Linked DNA regions of Coturnix japonica. The protein of the gene in region 1 binds, or shares a complex with, the protein of each later gene. Links are inferred from orthologs where the notes say so. Each region holds a gene or a part of one and is shown on either strand. Other genes may lie near its edges. The genes, in order: AURKA and TPX2.

Region 1 (4,315 bases):
AGCAGCTCATTATTGCGCTGCAACGAGCCGAGGCCTCGCAGCCGAACGCGGAGAACGACACGAGGCCGCCGGTACCTACCGACCCTTCCTTCTGCCTCCCTCGCTCTGCCCCTAAAATGGCGACCGGAGCTCTGAGCGCATCGATCGGCGGCGGCGGTAAAGGAGGAGGCGGCGGCGGCGGCCGAGACCGAAGAACGCTCCTCCGCGAGGGCTGCTGCATCGAGCGCCCGCACATCGATTGGAGCCGACTCTTAGGGGAGAGAACGGCGGCGTCACGTCACCGGTGACGCGTTAAGGACGCGACGGGCCGCTCTAACAGGACCCCTGCCTTGTTAAAGGACCCCCCGCCCGGTGGGGAAGGGGCGGGCTGCAGAGCGGAGCCCAGCGGGGATCCCGGGATCCAACGCCCCCTCCACCGTGGCTCGGACCCGGTTGCAGCCCGTGGGGTGACGTGTCGGGCAGGGCACAGCCTCGAGCAGGCCCAGGCGGCCCGTAGACACACAGAATGACCCGGGTTGGAAGGGACCTCAAGGATCACGTAGTTCCAACCCCCCTGCCTGGCAGGGCCACCAAACATACACCTTTACTAGATCAGGTTGCCCAGTACCGCCCCGTGCTGCCCATCGGAGCGTAGAGCTGCTATGAGCACCGCAGCTGGGGGCTGCGAGTCTGTGTTTGGGCTACAATACCCGCACGGTGCTGCCGGACACCGCAACACCTGCCATGGGGCACCACGGCACACAGGCCTCACGAGTGTTTAGGGCCGCCAGCTCAGCCAGCTCAGCCCCTTCCATGTCCCACCGCCACCCAACCCACAGCCCCGTGCTACTCACGTCAGCCTCCAGAAACGGCAGCCGTAGCGGCCGCGGGTCGAGCAGCGGAGCTGCCATGCTCCCCATACTCCCCATGCCCCGCGGCAGCTGCCGTCGGTCACACGCTGCAGCCACGCGACGACCGGACATCTTCTTTTTCCCTATGGTGTCCCGCTTGTCGACACCAACACACCGGGACCGCCCTCGAGCCGGGTCGTTAAGGACGCGGAGCCGCTGATAAGTTGCCTTCAATACCTTCAATCGCTTCTTCAGGCAGCGGGTCCCTCAGTGCTGTGAGACAGAGCAGCACCACGAGCCGCTCCGCAATGCACGAGCAGCACCGGGCGCTGTGCAGCCAACAGCCGGGCGTCCCCTCGTGCTGAGCTGGGTTGGTGCCCCCTTAAGGCTCGTTAAGGGCACGTGGAGCAGCGCCGTGCGAAGCTGAGGCCTGATGCTCCTCCTGCTGCTGCCCGTCGCACCTCAGCACACAATGGCCCCCAGCTCCCACTCGGCTTCACGCGAGGTGGCAGCGCCGCGTCTCCCTCAGCCCCAGGTGACGCTGAGGAGGATCGAGGTGTGAGCCCGGCTGGATGCAGCACTAACCTGGAGCCCTTCACCCCCGAGGCCTCGTTGAGCGGGAGTTGTAGCGCTGCCACAGGTGGGTGGGCTGGACGTAACGCGATTTGCGTAACGAGAGACCGCGGCCGGGCTGAGACTTACGGAGAGAAAGTGTGTGAGCTCGATCCACGCACTTGGAGTACGGAAGAAACAAGCGGCGGACAGACGGTACGTAAAGTACGTATGTAACGTAAACGCCGCCCAAAGGGTGGGCGGGTCGGGACGACGCGGGTACGCAGCGGGCCGCCGTTGCGCATGCGCACCGCAAGCTCACGGCGACGAGTCTAGGCCTCGCGACGAGCGGGGAGTCAGGAGAGCCAATGGGAAGGCAGGTAGACTGAAAAGCGGCCAATCGGAGGGCGCGGATGCCAGGAGAGGAGCCAATGGCGAGGGGGCGGAATTTTAAAGGCTATTTAAGGGAGGGAGGTTTGAATTCAAACAGTTGTAGCGGCCGCGGGCCGAGGTGAGTGTGGGGACGGCTGGGCCGGGTCGGGCCTCGCGTGGTGCTGTGCTGTGGCCTTACCTGCGGCCTTACCTGCCTCGAGGGCGGCCCAGCCGGCGTGTGGTGTGGGTACGGCCCGGCCGTTACGGAGCTGGGGCGGGCAGGCCTAGGGGGAGGCCTAAAGTGAGGCCTAGGGGGCAAAGGGAGAGCAGCACGTCCGAGGAGTGGCGCTGCTTGGAGGCTCAGCCCTGTTCTCTGTTTCATTCTCCATAGGTGAAAGTGTATCTTGCTTTTCTCGGGCACTATGGACAAGAAGATAAAAGAGAACTGTCCTGGGAACCCTTCTCGTGTTATTAAGGTGAGAGGCTTATCGAGTTGATGGGGGTGACTGAGCTTCTGGCTGCTGTTATTAACATCCAATTATTTAATTGGGAAGTCCTAGTAGTGCAGTTTTTATCCCTAATCAACTAATAAGACAGCAAAAACATACAGGCTGTGACTTGCAAAGGACGTGCTGCCTGAATGTTGTATATCTTTGTGCATGCCTTAAGATTACATATCTTTGTATACAGAAGCACGGACATTCTTTTCTTCTAATTTAAGTATAAACAGGTCCTTGTCAGGTTTTAAAGTAGTAGAAGCATGGTTTAAAATCAGCTTTCAATGCATTGGATCAAAAAAAAAAGGAGAATATAAGTCTTCCTAGAGAGTGAAGGCATCAGTAACAGATCATTAGCATTTGAATTTAATTCTAGAGCAACTAAGCATTACTTAAATATTAGTTTAAATTTCCTTCCTCGACTGAAAGAAAAGGATTAAAAGTAGGTAAAGGAACTATCCTAAACTTGGCTTTGTTCTGATGAACTCCTGTAGTAGCGCAAGGCATCTTAAAATACACATCACTCAAGGGAACAGTGACTCAAAGCATTGTATGTGAACAGGATTCCTATAGTAAAGGCTGGTCTGAGCTTTCCACTGTTATCTACACTTTGGTGGCTCTGTGTCTAGTTATGAATAAGTATGTTGTTAATAAGACAGTAGTTTTCTACAAGTCAATTCAATTCTTAAAAAATAAGATCAGAGTAATTTTAACATCTTCTTTTAATATACTGGTTTTTTTTCTCCTCCCTATCTTTTTCTGCAACCTGTACCTAACACTGTTGTACAGGGACATAAAGGTTATAGTGTTCTATTCTATTACTAATGTGCAGTTGTTGTTTTTTGAAGGCAGCGAATCCAGTTGTGGATGGCCCAAAACGTGTCCCTGTGTCTCAGAGTTCTGCCCAGAGCCAGCCACTGAACAGTGGAGTTCAACTGCAACGTGTTCTGTGTCCTGCAAATTTTGCCCAGCGAGTTCCTGTACAATCACAAAAAAATTCTTCACTGTCAAACCAAAAACTGTCTAACAATCAGACAACACAGCAGCCCCGACCAAAACTTCCAGTCCAGCCAACTGCTGGGCCTCAGGTTCCAAGCAAGAGCAGTGAAAAACCTCAACAAGCTCCTGGACCTGGTAATTCCAAAGATGATACATTTCTGTGTTTGTGACACTCAGGAGAATTCAAACAAGAGTGCAGGACAGAAAATGTAAAGCTCACACTAACGACATGTTGGACAGTCCTGTAGAAGAATAGATGGTTGCACCCAGAAAGAGAAAAGCAGCACATACTTCATCTTAGATATTACTGTACTGTCCTTGTTGCTAGAGTTAAGGATTTAGAGGAGCTAATAGAAGTGTTCCTCCAGTCTTGAAAATTTACAGATGCTCATTAGTCAACTTTGAATACATGCAATTGGTATCCCTGCATCATGTTTTTTTCCAGTGTTCATGGTAATCTGATACACAAGAACACTGTATGAGCAGGAGGGAGAAGACTTCTTAATGTTTTCATGAGTTTCAAAAAAGCATTTGAAGTTACACTTTGATAAAGTAGCTCTAACTGCTTTGCTGCTTTGCCACTGGTAAGCTATGCTAGGTTTTAAATACAGAGGATAGACAGTAAATTGCTGTAGATACTACCCAGACTTATTCCTTGTGAATGTTTTGCATTCGCTGGTGGTTTATAGTTGTTCTATTTGATTGTATACAGCAAAGAGTTCTGAAGCAGACAGTGTCTCTAAACAGAAAAGTGAAGAGCCTACTAAAAAGAAAAAGGAAGACACTAAAAAGTAAGTTGCGGGCCTTAAAAACTTACAGCTGTTAGTTGTGCTTTCAATGTCTAGCAGTTCATGCTACAACTGAGTTGCAGCCAAGCTGCTGCCTACTTAAGCCTCTTGATTGCTAAGAACAGTGGCCTTCATAGAGACAATGTTTATTAATGAAACTCTGGGAAGGGTTACTTTGCTTTGGTAATCTTTAGGAACAATAAATTACTTTAATCTGAAGGAAAGCTTTTGGCACAAAAAGGAGCAACTTTTCCTGTGAGAGAATGCTGATAATCAC
Region 2 (4,438 bases), about 1.8 Mb from region 1:
TGGAACACTGCTGAGCACAGAGAGGAGGAAGCTCCACTCCCTGCTGTTAAATGACATGAGGAACATGCCCGAGAGCAAGGGCTCCCATTTGAAGAACAAGCTTGGTTGACATTACATTTCCACAGGCTCTTGGAAAATGGGTCTCTTATGTAACAGCCAGGGAGAAGGAGGAGAAAAAGGGATGCAGGAGGACAGATCAGAACGTTAACTCTTTGTTTCAACACAGTGGACTGACCCTCTTGCAGCAGAGCATTAAGAACGCAGAGGGAAGGGCCACATACCAAATTCTTGCCCTGCAAGGTCTAGACCGAGCACAAGCACAATCACTGCAGGCAGCTTGATCTGGCCTTGAGCTAGGATGCAGGGAGCCATCCCTATGGGAGAGCAGTTCTTACCCAGCCGCCATTCTCCTGGATCCAGGGATCTAGATGGTCGGTCAAGTACGTGGTCATCCAAGACACAATGCGTCCCACCAGTACCCGCATCTCCTTGTCCACGCTCTCCACGCACAGAGCCCCTCCGAAGGAGAAGAAAGCCACAATGCGCCCCCAGTTCACACCATCGTGGAAGAGTTCATTGACTACCTGCTCGAAGCTCTGGTACGCCGTGCCAGGGGTGATGTGGAGCTGGGAGGTGAGGTCGCTGAAAGCCCTCCTGTACCTCAGCTCAAACTCATCCCCTGCTTCTCTCAGCGCCTGCCTCACGTCAGATGCTCCGACGATTTCATGAACTTCCATGCTGCTCCGGTGCACGGTGGCTCCATTCACTACGTGGCCGGCAGGCGGGTGCCACGATGGGCTCCCGTTGAGGACGCTGTCCATCTCTGCCTCTGCCGCAGTGTCAGTCCTGTTCTCATCCTCTTCCTCCAGCTCGCTCCAGCAGTGCCCCTTCTGCGAGAGCTTGTAGGAAACAAAGTCAATCACTAAGTCCCGGTTACTGCCGGACATTTTCACACCTGGAACGCCCTCAATGAGTCCATGGTCCAGTGCACGAGCAGATAAGCACACTTAGCAGCTCCCGGCTCCACGCTCCCTCACCACCGGCGAACACATCCGACCTTTGCACAGACACACAGAGAGGAAAAGAGAGGCAAGGAAACGGTTAACACGACAGCTTGCTGCGCCGTGCACATCAATAGCTTAACGTTACACTGAGCTCATCACCCAGCTTCGCTCGGAACCGCCGCCGCACACGGAACGGGGATCCCCCCTCGGGGTCACCCTCAGCCCTCCCGCAGCCCCGGGGCTCACCGGGCTCAGGCAGAGCCGGGGCTCGCCGGGCGGAGGCTGAGAGCTGCGGGTGCTGCGGGCGGCCCGGCCCCGCTCCGCTCCGTCAGTCCCGGAGAGACACGGAGGCGGAGGCAGCACCGCCCCCGCCCGGCCCCTCCCGTTAAAGGGCCCGGCCGCGCCCCCCGCCGGCATTGCCCAGCGGGACCGACGGTGTCCGAGCTGGGTTACGGGCTCCGCTTCCCGTTCCCATCCCCGGTGGCTCGGCCCGGCCCCGTGTCCCTCGGAACGGCCCCCAGCGTGGGGGAACGGGAGGGAGAAAGGCTCCAAGTGTCCTTTAAAAGCAGCAGGTAAGAGGTGCGGGGGTCTCCTTTGGAGGAGAAGGGAATGGCAGGGCTCAGTGCAGTATCACGGTATGAGGAGCAGGCCTGGAAATAAGGTAGGAACAGGAACAACCCCAGGAGAAGTCTTCTAAAGACTTCCAGCAACTACACGCAGATGAAACCACAGATGAAATAAAGGGTGTTTGTTTGTAATGTTATTTAAACTGAGGTCCCTGCAGTCGTTTGAATGCTGTTTCCTCTGCACAGCCCCTCCTCCCCACGAGGTATTACAGTCCCTGCATGCACCCCAGCAGCCTTCATGCAATGCATTCCCCCCACCCTGGGGGCTGCAAGGAAAGCACGGAGGGGCTGCTCCTCCCGAAGCCCCATAGCAGCGGGCAGGCAGGGCTGCACAAAGCACAGAGTCACTGTTCTATACTCACCCACACCCCAACCCTGAGAAAAAGGGCAGAGAAAAGCCTGGGAAATAGCAGCTCGGGCTGGGAAACAGCAGCTCGTTCCTTCTGGCTGAGGGTGTTGGATTAAAGTAATTTGACGCTGAGAGGAGGCAACTCCCCAGCCCTCCCACTGTGCTCTCATCCCACTCCACCCCTCCTACCCTCCCTCCTATTCAGTGCCAAGGCTCCGTGCCCTCCTGGTGCCCCCAGCCCTGCCAGCCCCTGGGAGGTCCCACTGTTGTGGAGCCTTTTCCTTCTCCAAAAGGCAGATAACGAAGCGTTCTGATGTATGAAGGAAGCAGGGGCCGCTCCTCTGCTGGCGGCGTTGAGCTCTGAGTAATTGGCGTTTCTTTGTAAGGTTTTCGTGCCAAAGCCTGGCGGTGAGTCAGAGTGTGGGGCAGGACTGGGGCACAGGTAAGGGCTGCAGGGCAATGCAATGCAATACAATGCAGTACAATACAATACAATGCAATGCAATACAATACAATGCAATGCAATGTAATGCAATGCAATGCAATGCAATACAATGCAATGCATGGAGCACTGAGCTGGGGGCAGCAGGATGCAGAGCCCGGGGTGCTGCACCCACAGGGCGGCTGAACAAAGAGCTCCCCCCCGGTACTATGGCAGGGTCTCGCCGTACAGCCCGGCTTCCTTAGTGCCGTCACTCCGGTCCCCTCGTACCGGTGTTGCTGTAGGCCGTACCCGCTCCCATGGCCCCTCTCGGCCGCCGTCCCCACTCACGGGGCCCGCACACGAGGGCCGCCATAGGGCACACAGCCCGCCCCTCGCCATCAGCCAATCACCGGCCGCCACAGCTCCGAGAGGGCGGAGCTAGAGAACGGCCTGCTTTGATTGGTGGAACCGCCCGTCACTCACGGCCTGCCCCGCTCCGCCCCTCACCTCAGCGGTCGGTGGATGGTCCGGGCTGTGACCGATCCCGCTCTATGGGCCCAACCGGTGACGACGCAGGGCTCGGCCGGGAGCCCAGCCGGCCGTCGGGCCTGTCAGCAGTGCCCGGTGTCCCGCCGCATCAGCACCGAGCGGACATTGCGCTGCTGGGCCGAGCCGGGGGGGGCGGGAGGGAGGGAGGGGGCAGCGCGCATGCGTGCGGCGCCGCCGGTCTGAGGTGCGGTGCGCATGCGCCTGCGTGCGTTGTGCGGCCGTGGCAGTGCGCATGCGCAGCGACAAGGAGGCCGGTTGGACTCGAGCGCCCCCTGGCGGCTGCCCCGCCCGCAGGTGCGTTGTGTTCCCGCAGCACTCGGGGCTGTGACTCGGAGCTGAGCTGCAGCCGGGGAAAGGCCGGTGTGGCCATAGGGCTGGATGAGGCGGCTGCTTGAATCCATGGCCATAGAGGGCGGTGTGAGGTTAGTGAGGGGCTGGGCGGGGGGATCCTTATGGCTGCTGTAATCGGGTGACTTGACCTGTTGGTAACAAGGAGCAGACTCGGCAGAGGGCAGACACGGGCGGAACCGGCCCTGCCTGGTAGACCCGCCTCCCTGCAGCTGATTGGCTGTTTCAGAGCCCCGCCTCCCCTGATTGGTCGAAGCCTTTCTCTCCCTGTGCATGATGGGAGTAGCAGTTTGTTTCTGGTGCTGAGGCTTCGGTTCCTTCCGTTCGAATCCTACATTTCCCATCATCCCCCGCGGGAGGGGCGGGAGCGCTCATCCGGGTTCTTTAACGTCTGGACAGCCCGTCCAATCAACACGCAACGAGGGCGTGAGCTGAGCGTTGATTGGTCCATTCGGACAAGACGAGTCCCGTTTGAAATCCTCTAACGGCGGCGGGCAGAAGCCCCGCGCTCGGCGGCTGCGGCGCTGAGGTGAGTGAGGAACGGGGGGGGACACCGGGAATCAACGGCAACCGGGGCTGCCCACAGCCGCACACAGCCCTTCCTGGTGTTGTCCCCGCTTCATGAGTGTGCCTCGGTACCGGCAGCACGGGCTGCTGTTCTGCTTTGGGCCCCTTTGTCCGCTTGTTGGGGGTAGGCCGCAGCCTGACGCTGTGAACGGCTCTGAGGGGGGAAGGGGAGAAAGCAGTGTCTGAAATGGGGGAGAAAAGGGATTTGATGCTTCGGTATTGAAGTAAAAGGGTCAGGATGAGGCCATTGGTGCCCCTTGGTGAGGCCATTGCTGTCACATTGGCTATGGTTATACTGCTCTTTGTGTTGCTTGAACGTCAGTTTATCTAATAATAAGCAGAGGTTACCTGCCTATAAATAACCCAGCCGGTTCCTTGGGCTGCTATTCTTAGGCCCGTGCCTGTCTCTGTATCACTTAGAACCCGTGGGATCTCATTTACGGAGTGTGAGGTGGCCGGGCTCTATTTTGAGCCCTTGGACAGGGGACAGATTAAGGGGAGCTTTAGGGCAAAGGCTGCTGGCACCTCGTTCCCCTCTGGGTGATGTGTGTGGCTTCACTGCTTCAATCCC

Evidence for each region.
Region 2: the proteins of AURKA (region 1) and TPX2 are in contact, whole or in part, in a crystal structure (PDB 3HA6), measured with the Homo sapiens proteins. The link is inferred for Coturnix japonica from reciprocal best matches to the Homo sapiens genes AURKA and TPX2. Residues at the interface, in NP_001310232.1 of Homo sapiens: Lys125, Arg126, Gln127, Trp128, Asp132, Glu152, Gln154, Ser155, Phe157, Leu159, Lys166, Glu170, Gly173, Glu175, Leu178, Arg179, Val182, Glu183, Ile184, Ser186, His187, Leu188, Arg189, Tyr197, Gly198, Tyr199, His201, Val206, Tyr246, Ser249; in NP_036244.2 of Homo sapiens: Gln3, Lys5, Ser6, Ser7, Tyr8, Ser9, Tyr10, Asp11, Ala12, Pro13, Ser14, Asp15, Phe16, Ile17, Phe19, Ser20, Ile31, Asp32, Trp34, Phe35, Glu36, Lys38, Ala39.

Annotation. Positions count from the first base shown.
Region 1 is NC_029535.1:10,854,438-10,858,752, forward strand, and holds the start of AURKA (aurora kinase A), read left to right. Parts: upstream 1-1,488; 5' UTR 1,489-1,598; exon of another isoform or gene 1,599-1,607; intron 1,608-1,806; exon of another isoform or gene 1,807-1,893; intron 1,894-2,145; 5' UTR 2,146-2,176; coding exon 2,177-2,230; intron 2,231-3,099; coding exon 3,100-3,385; intron 3,386-3,962; coding exon 3,963-4,041; intron 4,042-4,315. Other genes in the region: CSTF1 (cleavage stimulation factor subunit 1), read right to left, coding at 80-250, 834-962. UniProt on the Homo sapiens protein: Mitotic serine/threonine kinase that contributes to the regulation of cell cycle progression.
Region 2 is NC_029535.1:9,011,467-9,015,904, reverse strand, and holds the start of TPX2 (targeting protein for Xklp2), read left to right. Parts: upstream 1-1,446; 5' UTR 1,447-1,576; intron 1,577-1,992; exon of another isoform or gene 1,993-2,117; intron 2,118-2,910; exon of another isoform or gene 2,911-3,082; intron 3,083-3,698; exon of another isoform or gene 3,699-3,829; intron 3,830-4,438. Other genes in the region: BCL2L1 (bcl-2-like protein 1), read right to left, coding at 396-947. UniProt on the Homo sapiens protein: Spindle assembly factor required for normal assembly of mitotic spindles. Required for normal assembly of microtubules during apoptosis. Required for chromatin and/or kinetochore dependent microtubule nucleation.